2 linked regions of the Macaca mulatta genome follow. The protein of the gene in region 1 purifies or fractionates together with the protein of each later gene. This does not show direct contact. Links are inferred from orthologs where the notes say so. Each region holds a gene or a part of one and is shown on either strand. Other genes may lie near its edges.

Region 1 (3,647 bases):
AAGCTCATATAGCAAACCAACAGAGCCAGGGCTGAAAACTGGTTCGTTGCCTGCCACCTATCTAATGTTGCTTCAGCTTTATTGTGTCAAAATTATGTATTTAATATATTTATCAGGAAAGTGGCCTATGGGCTCTAGAAATACTGCTCATAGGAATAAAGTGTTTAAGTCAAGAGAAATTAGTCTCACTTTATTACCAGTATAGTGAATACAAACAAGGGCTATGAGCAGAACCAGTTTTAGAATGAATGGCCAAGCCATTAAGTTTCACTTTGAGCTTCTAAGATATTTAAACTCCTTAAAAAGAAAGTGCATAATCCAAATCACTTGCTTAGTAAATTGGTAGAATTTGTCCACAAAAAAGTAGTGGTGGTTTTTCATTTACCTTACAAAGAACTGACCTGCAGGTTAACATTGGCAAGCTATTTTATGTGGCTTTAGATCATATTGAGAGGTTATTTTTGGGGAAATGTGCTTCCCCAAGCTCTAGAAGCTTTATTTTTCCTTCTTTATATTCTCAACACTGTACAAAATAAGGGCAGCTAGATTTTAGCGTGCCAAAACTAAAGGTGGAGCTATAAGCAGAAGGACATAATTAATGGTATTTCATGCTTGATTAGAAAGTAAAAATGTTCATTAGGCATGAACAGAAACGAGTTTGAGAACTTGTTTCAGTTGGTGGAAATGCAGTAATATTGTGAATAAGTTCTTGTGGAAGGATCACTAGCTAGGAACTTACTAACTTATTAGCAGGTGACTTCATATTTCTAACCTCCGTGTCCTTATGAGATCTTGACCTTCCATTTCCCATTCTGATTTAAGTGAAGTAAGGCACTCCTTAGGAGCCACTGGCCATGTGTGGCTCCATTAATTTAAGAAAAAAACAAAACTACAGTTTCTTAGTCTAAAGAAAGCACATGTGATTCGTGGCTACTGTGTTGGATAGAACAGATATGAAACGTTTATCACTGCAGAAAGTTCTGTTGGGCAATGCTAGTATAAAAGGTATGAGAAATTTGGCCTTTAAAACAACCGGTGCTGGCCCAGCAGTAAATGGGCTGTTTTCTACTAAATCAGGAAGAAGTAGAAATTGATACTCTTCTGTGGTAACTCAATAAATGCATCAACTTCCCTGGCCAATCTTGGTTAATGAGAATTTACTGTGCTACAGAATTTTTGGATGAAGTAATTGGTCACGTTGCTCAATACGGTACGAAGTGAAAGCTTCAAAGAATATATTGTGACAGAAATGAATGTTTGGATTATTGTGAAATGTGCCCTTTTAAATAACGTTGGTTTTTCTCAGGTGACTTTGAGGTTAATGTTTCTGCTTACCATATTTCCAAGATGGTCATGTCTATGCCCTTAGGCAAATATTTAATTTCTGACCTGATTTTCTCTCATCTGTGATTACATCACAGTTTGAGGATATTCTGTGTATATAGTAGGTAGTCAACAGATGTACCCTGTGAGGCTCATTTTTTATTATCCTTTCACATTCTTTATAGTGCCTTTAGCACGAATAAGTAAGATTCAACATCAAACAGATTTGTAATGAGAAATACTTTGTTTTAGGCAAAAATGTTGTACATCAGCTCTCAGTAACCCTAGAAGACTTATATAATGGTGCAACAAGAAAACTGGCTCTGCAAAAGAATGTGATTTGTGACAAATGTGAAGGTACGGGTTTTTTTTGTTTTGTTTTTTGTTTTTTTAAACGTCTTTAATATGACACCTGAAAATGGAGCTAAGACTTCCTGGATACGTAAAATTGACTCACGTACACTACGTAGATTTTGGGGGAGGGGAGGGCTGATATAAAGAAAACCGACTGAAAACCTGCCACCTAAAGAAATAACAGCACTATTTTCTGTGTATATTTTAAATATAGGGATCAAGCTAGCTTGGTATCTTTTTTGTAATAAGTAAAATTATTTACTGGAAATGAAGTATGTTCTAATGAGAATAAAACTAATTAAAATGATTTCATCAGTTACATATTCAGAGGGTAGCATTCCATCAGACTTTGAAAATATTAAAAGTACAGCATTTAGGAATTGTCTTCTTAAAACATTTACTACTGTATACACTAATTCATACGTTATTCAATTTTCTTTTTACATTTAGGTAGAGGAGGTAAGAAAGGAGCAGTAGAGTGCTGTCCCAATTGCCGAGGTACTGGAATGCAAATAAGAATTCATCAGATAGGACCTGGAATGGTTCAGCAAATTCAGTCTGTGTGCATGGAGTGCCAGGGCCATGGGGAGCGGATCAGTCCTAAAGATAGATGTAAAAGCTGCAACGGAAGGAAGATAGTTCGAGAGAAGAAGATTCTAGAGGTTCATATTGACAAAGGTGAGTTCTGAGCTACTTATTCTGAAGTCTTGAATGCTGTGGCAGATTTATTATTAACATTTTATAGTTTAAAAAGCATTCTTGGCCGGGCACGGTGGCTCAAGCCTGTAATCCCAGCACTTTGGGAGGCTGAGACGGGCGGATCACGAGGTCAGGAGATCGAGACCATCCTGGCTAACACGGTGAAACCCCGTCTCTACAAAAAAAAATAGAAAAAACTAGCCGGGCGAGGTGGCGGGCGCCTGTAGTCCCAGCTACTGGGGAGGCTGAGGCAGGAGAATGGCATAAACCCGGGAGGCGGAGCTTGCAGTGAGCTGAGATCCGGCCCCTGCACTCCAGCCTGGGCAACAGAGCGAGACTCCATCTCAAAAAAAAAACCATTCTTAGTTAGGTTATATATGATCCTATCACTCAGAAATAGATCTTAGCAGCGTAATATATAATGTTTTTCCATCCAGACATAATTTTGCATATTGGTATATTACTAATAGAAAATAAGGAATCTCCTCATCTAATATAAACAGGATCATTTTTTGAAATCAGTGGTCCTGTAAATGATTGAATAGTGTTCCAAACTTAATTCTCTGCTGTTAAACCATAGTTCTTCCATCTTTTAAAAAATTAGAATGAAGTTATTTGAACACATTCCTAATTAAGAGTTATTAGATCAAGGGATAGGCATATTTTTAAGGATTTGAGAAGGGAGTTAGGTGAAGAATTGGGTCTCATTAAAATTCATGGTTTTTTTTGTTTTTTTCTGAGACAGAGTTTTGCGCTCATTTCCCAGGCTGGAATGTGCAATGGCACGATCTCAGCTCATTGCAACATCTGCCTCCCAGGTTCAAGCAATTCTTCTGCCTCAGTCTACCAAGTAGCTGGGATTACAGGCACCCAGCACCACTCCTGGCTAATGTTTTGTATTTTTAGTAGAGACAGGGTTTCACCATGTTGGCCAGGCTGATCTCGGACACCTGACCTCAGGTGATCACCTGCCTCGGCTTTCCAAAGTGCTAGAATTACAGGCATGAGCTACCACACCCGGCGTCATGTTTATTTTTTAAACTAATGGACATGTTTTCTGTTCTTTGTTTTTTTTCCTGAGATAGAGTCTTGCTCTGTTGCCCAGGCTTGAGTGCAGTGATGCCATCTTGGCTCACTCTAACCTCCCCTCCCAGGTTCAAGCGATTCTCCTACCTCAACCTCCCAGGTAGCTGGGACTACAGGTGTGTGCCACCATACCTGACCTGGACTTGTTTAAATAAACGTATTGGCCCACTTAATTGGCTTACTTG
Region 2 (4,132 bases), on another chromosome or scaffold:
AATGTTACTCCAATTTATTTCCTAGGGGTGAAAGCAAAGCCTTTTTGTCCCAAGGGGCAACTGAGCAACCACCAGAGTCTCTAGTTGAATAGCAAGGGTGTGAGGCTGGCTAAAATTCCCACAGTCAGAAGCCCACTCGCAGGAGGATATTTACCAAATTGACATAAGAACTGCATAAAAAGTAAATGCAGTTATTGAGCTGATGTTTCACAGTTGTCTGTAGATGGAGGCAACATTGCAAAATAGTCTTCTTTTTACATTATATTATTCTCTTCTTCTTTTTAATTTGGTGTCTTGGTTATTACTATTATTTTGCTTGTTACTTTCCAGACAAAAGTCCAGTGCAGATATGTAACTGCACACATGTAGTACTAACTTCTGAGCTCAATTATTTCTCCTTGTATTTTCCCAATTTTATATCAGGAAAGATGATTCATTCCAAAGGACAATGCACCACACAAAATGTGTTACATAGACTTCTCATAAAGGAATACCTCTAGTAAACTATTATAACTACTCTACGTGCACTTGCTGTTGATTATTGCCATGTTAGAACTATTTGTTCGCTTCTTTATTTAGTATGGTTATTATTTCCATCTTCCAGTTTTATTTAGCTATTCGAGTGTGCATGTGCCTGCAAAAGAAGCTCTGAAAATAAGTTAGTTGAACCTGAGAAGCCATTTTGAATGACTGTATGACTAAATGTTTTTTTTAAATTAAAAAAAATCACAATTACCCAGACCGTTTTGAGCATTACGCCCATTTTCTCTCCCACTTTATTTTTAAAGCAATTAGAGATATTGAACCCTAACAAAATGTAGTCGAGTTTAATATACTGCGAGGGAGGGGCTGGCAGTAATTTTCCTTTAAATATTTAATCTGAACATAAATCTGTTATTAAGGGTAGGGGGAAAAAACCTCACATAGATAATTTTAACTGCATTTTGGGGTTTAAGCAACATAAAGTCTTCCAACCCCAGTCCCCTTTCTTCTTCCGCCCCTCCCCGACCCCACCCCATAATGGATGCTCGGCAGAATGCTTCTGCACGGTCTCTTTGTCTAAAGGATGCAAACAGTCTACGGATGCTAGAGAAAAAGGGGTGGGGGAGAGATTACCTCATCCCACGTCGTTTGCACCAATCACCAGTCTCCTGTCCTGGCTTCTCTGGGCAGATTGGGGGTCTGGACCAACAGGAACAGGCCCCGGCCCATCCCCATGGTGACCGAGTTGTATATATGGAGCCGCATCCGCCCATGTGCCGCAGGTTCTCTTACATCGACCGCCTAAGAGTCGCGCTGTAAGAAGCAACAACCTTCTCCTCCTTGTCTCCGCCATCTGCTCTGCAGTCGCGAAGCAGCAACCATGGTGAGAATCGGCTTTGGCTCTTTGTGGCCGTTGGGTGGAGTCAGCGCCCCCAGGCTCTGCTTGGAAAATCTTTAAGCTCTTTTCTTTCGTAAGCTCTCTGGGCGAGGGTGGTGGTGTGTTTTGTGAGGTTTAGCTTTACCCCAAATCCTCCAGCTCCGCCGCCGCCGCAGTGCGGGTGCAGGAACCCGGCCAGGACTGCGCCCAGGGCGCTGCAGAGCGCTGGGGAGGAACAAAGGCGGCGCCTGGGCGCCTGTGTTGTCCTACAGCCTTTCGGGGTCGCGGGCAGCCCGTCTGCCGCAACCGAGGGGTCTCGGGCGTCCCGGCTGGGTCCAGTGTCTGTGCGCACGGTTTCGCAGACGCCGAGGGGCCCCTTTCTGTCTCGCCTCGTTCTCTGGGGACCGGGAGAGGAGGAGGCACCCAAAAAGAGCGGGGGCGTTGGGCGAGCTGGGGGATGTGGGAGGGGGAACGGGAACAAAGCGCAGCCTGGGGTTAGCGTGGGAAGACCCCTCGCGGTCGTTGGCGTTTTGGAAAGATAACCACACATTCCCGGGGAAACATGGTGAGTTTCTACTGGAGCCCCCGGCAGCGGGTGTCAGGGCGGCGCAGGGGCGGGGTTGTTTGTTTCTGGCTTCTATGGCGTTGGAGCCACTGGGCGGGGTTCGCCCTCACTAAACCTCCTCTGTCAGGAGCTGACTTAAAAAAAACTTTTCATCATTGCGGAACTGTAGGCTCCAAAAGGGTTTTCTTCGCTATTATAATTAAGATGACCTTTTTTTTTTTCTCTTGAGCAAAATCACAATTCACTTGACAAACTCTTTAATGTCTGGTCTGGGGACGCCCTGCCCTGACCGACTGAAGTGTGTGTGTGTGTGTGTGTGTGTGTGTGTGCGTGCGTGCTGCTCGTTCAGCGAGGGAGAAAGCCTACTTTGTGAGCCCCAGGGTACCCTGATGGTCGTGTGTGTGTGTGTGTGTGTGTGTGTGTGTGTGTGTGTGTGCGCGCGCTGCTCGTTCAGCGAGGGAGAAAGCCCACTTTGTGAGCCCCAGGGTACCCTGATGGTCAGGACCAGGGAAACGCCCTTCCCCGCCGCCCCCCTCCGCCCCGCCCCCACCACATCAGCGAATAGACAATGAAAGTGGTAGCCCTAAAGACCACAGAGAAGAAAACCTCTATTGGATGCAAAGAATATGAATATTATGTGGTGGGTAGAGAATCTCAGGATTAAAATACTATTTTGTTGTTTTAAATAAATATTTCACTATCGTTCCACTGGGCTTTTATTCTTTGTTTGCTACCTTTTCATGTGATGCTTGTTTCTAACTTAGGAACGTGTGTGTGTGTGTGTGTGTGTGTGTGTGTGTGTGTTTTAAGATACGGATAATTTTTCAGCTTTTACAGTGGAGAAGATCTGGAAAAACCTTTTTCTTTAAAAAAAGGAATGAAATTGCTACAGACAAAGAATTATACTCCGCATCCCGTTGTCTTTTGTTCTAGTGCATCTTCATTAATTCATTTCAATTCAGGCACATGGTCCCGGGCGGGGTCAGAGGAGGAAAACTGGCAAAACAGCACAATGAGATCATGTAGGCAGTTGCTGGAAATAGAGCTTGCTCTGTTAAATAATGTAGCAGACAGTACAGGCTAGCACCAGGCACAGCAAATACAGCAATGCAGCAATGCAGAAGGCAGAAGCAGACCTTGTCTAAACCCCTTGTATTGATGGATTCTGCAGACAGACTGCAGAAGGGTGTGGCTTCTTGCCTCAGCTGCAGTACAGATGTCCATGTTATAATATCAAGTCAGTCCTATTCAGAAGAAACTTTCTTCTTTATTTAAAAGGGAAGAAAGCAGTAAAATTAATCCCAATTATGTCATAATTGAATTTACTTCATTTTACAAAATTTGTGCTTTGAATACTGAATACTTTTTAAATATGAAAAGTCTTTTATTCAAGCATGGTAGTAGGCACAATGGGCTGGTACCATGTGCTGAACAGGGCCAAGGCGACATCATTATTCAGACCACACCCATATGCAGCATTTGCAGCAGGTCATTTTCCTTAATCTTTGTATCGTGCTAGGGATGTGACCTCAAATAATTTTGAAAAATATCTGTATATTATTAGAAATATTTTTAAAAGTTTACTAAAAGTTTGAAATGCTAATACGCCTTAATTTTACAATTTTTTCACTTTTCCTTCCCACAGCGTGAGTGCATCTCCATCCATGTTGGCCAGGCTGGTGTCCAGATTGGCAATGCCTGCTGGGAGCTCTACTGCCTGGAACACGGCATCCAGCCCGATGGTCAGATGCCAAGTGACAAGACCATTGGGGGAGGAGATGATTCCTTCAACACCTTCTTCAGTGAGACGGGCGCTGGCAAGCATGTGCCCCGGGCCGTGTTTGTAGACTTGGAACCCACGGTCATTGGTGAGTTGACCTCAGTAACCCAAGTGAGATCCCAGGATGCTGGGACAGGAGGTCTGTCCTGGGGGGCTCCGCTAGTCACCCACTCACCCACTCCCTCCATCCTTCTCTCCCTCCTTCTCCAGATGAAGTTCGCACTGGCACCTACCGCCAGCTCTTCCACCCTGAGCAGCTCATCACAGGCAAGGAAGATGCTGCCAATAACTATGCCCGAGGGCACTACACCATTGGCAAGGAGATCATTGACCTTGTGTTGGACCGAATTCGTAAGCTGGTATGTTTCTTTTCAAGAATAAAGTAAATTAATGAGCCTAAAGAACACATTTGAAATACTGCTTTTTT

Evidence for each region. The genes of interacting proteins can lie anywhere in the genome.
Region 2: the proteins of DNAJA1 (region 1) and TUBA1A purify together in Homo sapiens (affinity purification with mass spectrometry; 3 studies listed by BioGRID and IntAct, with this or other methods). This does not show direct contact. The link is inferred for Macaca mulatta from reciprocal best matches to the Homo sapiens genes DNAJA1 and TUBA1A.

Annotation. Positions count from the first base shown.
Region 1 is NC_133420.1:66,342,922-66,346,568, reverse strand, and holds part of DNAJA1 (dnaJ homolog subfamily A member 1), read left to right. Parts: intron 1-1,547; coding exon 1,548-1,680; coding exon of another isoform or gene 1,681-1,686; intron 1,687-2,127; coding exon 2,128-2,355; intron 2,356-3,647.
Region 2 is NC_133416.1:56,351,479-56,355,610, reverse strand, and holds the start of TUBA1A (tubulin alpha-1A chain), read left to right. Parts: upstream 1-1,273; 5' UTR 1,274-1,363; coding exon 1,364-1,366; exon of another isoform or gene 1,367-1,922; coding exon of another isoform or gene 1,923-1,925; intron 1,926-3,570; coding exon 3,571-3,793; intron 3,794-3,915; coding exon 3,916-4,064; intron 4,065-4,132. UniProt on the Homo sapiens protein: Tubulin is the major constituent of microtubules, a cylinder consisting of laterally associated linear protofilaments composed of alpha- and beta-tubulin heterodimers.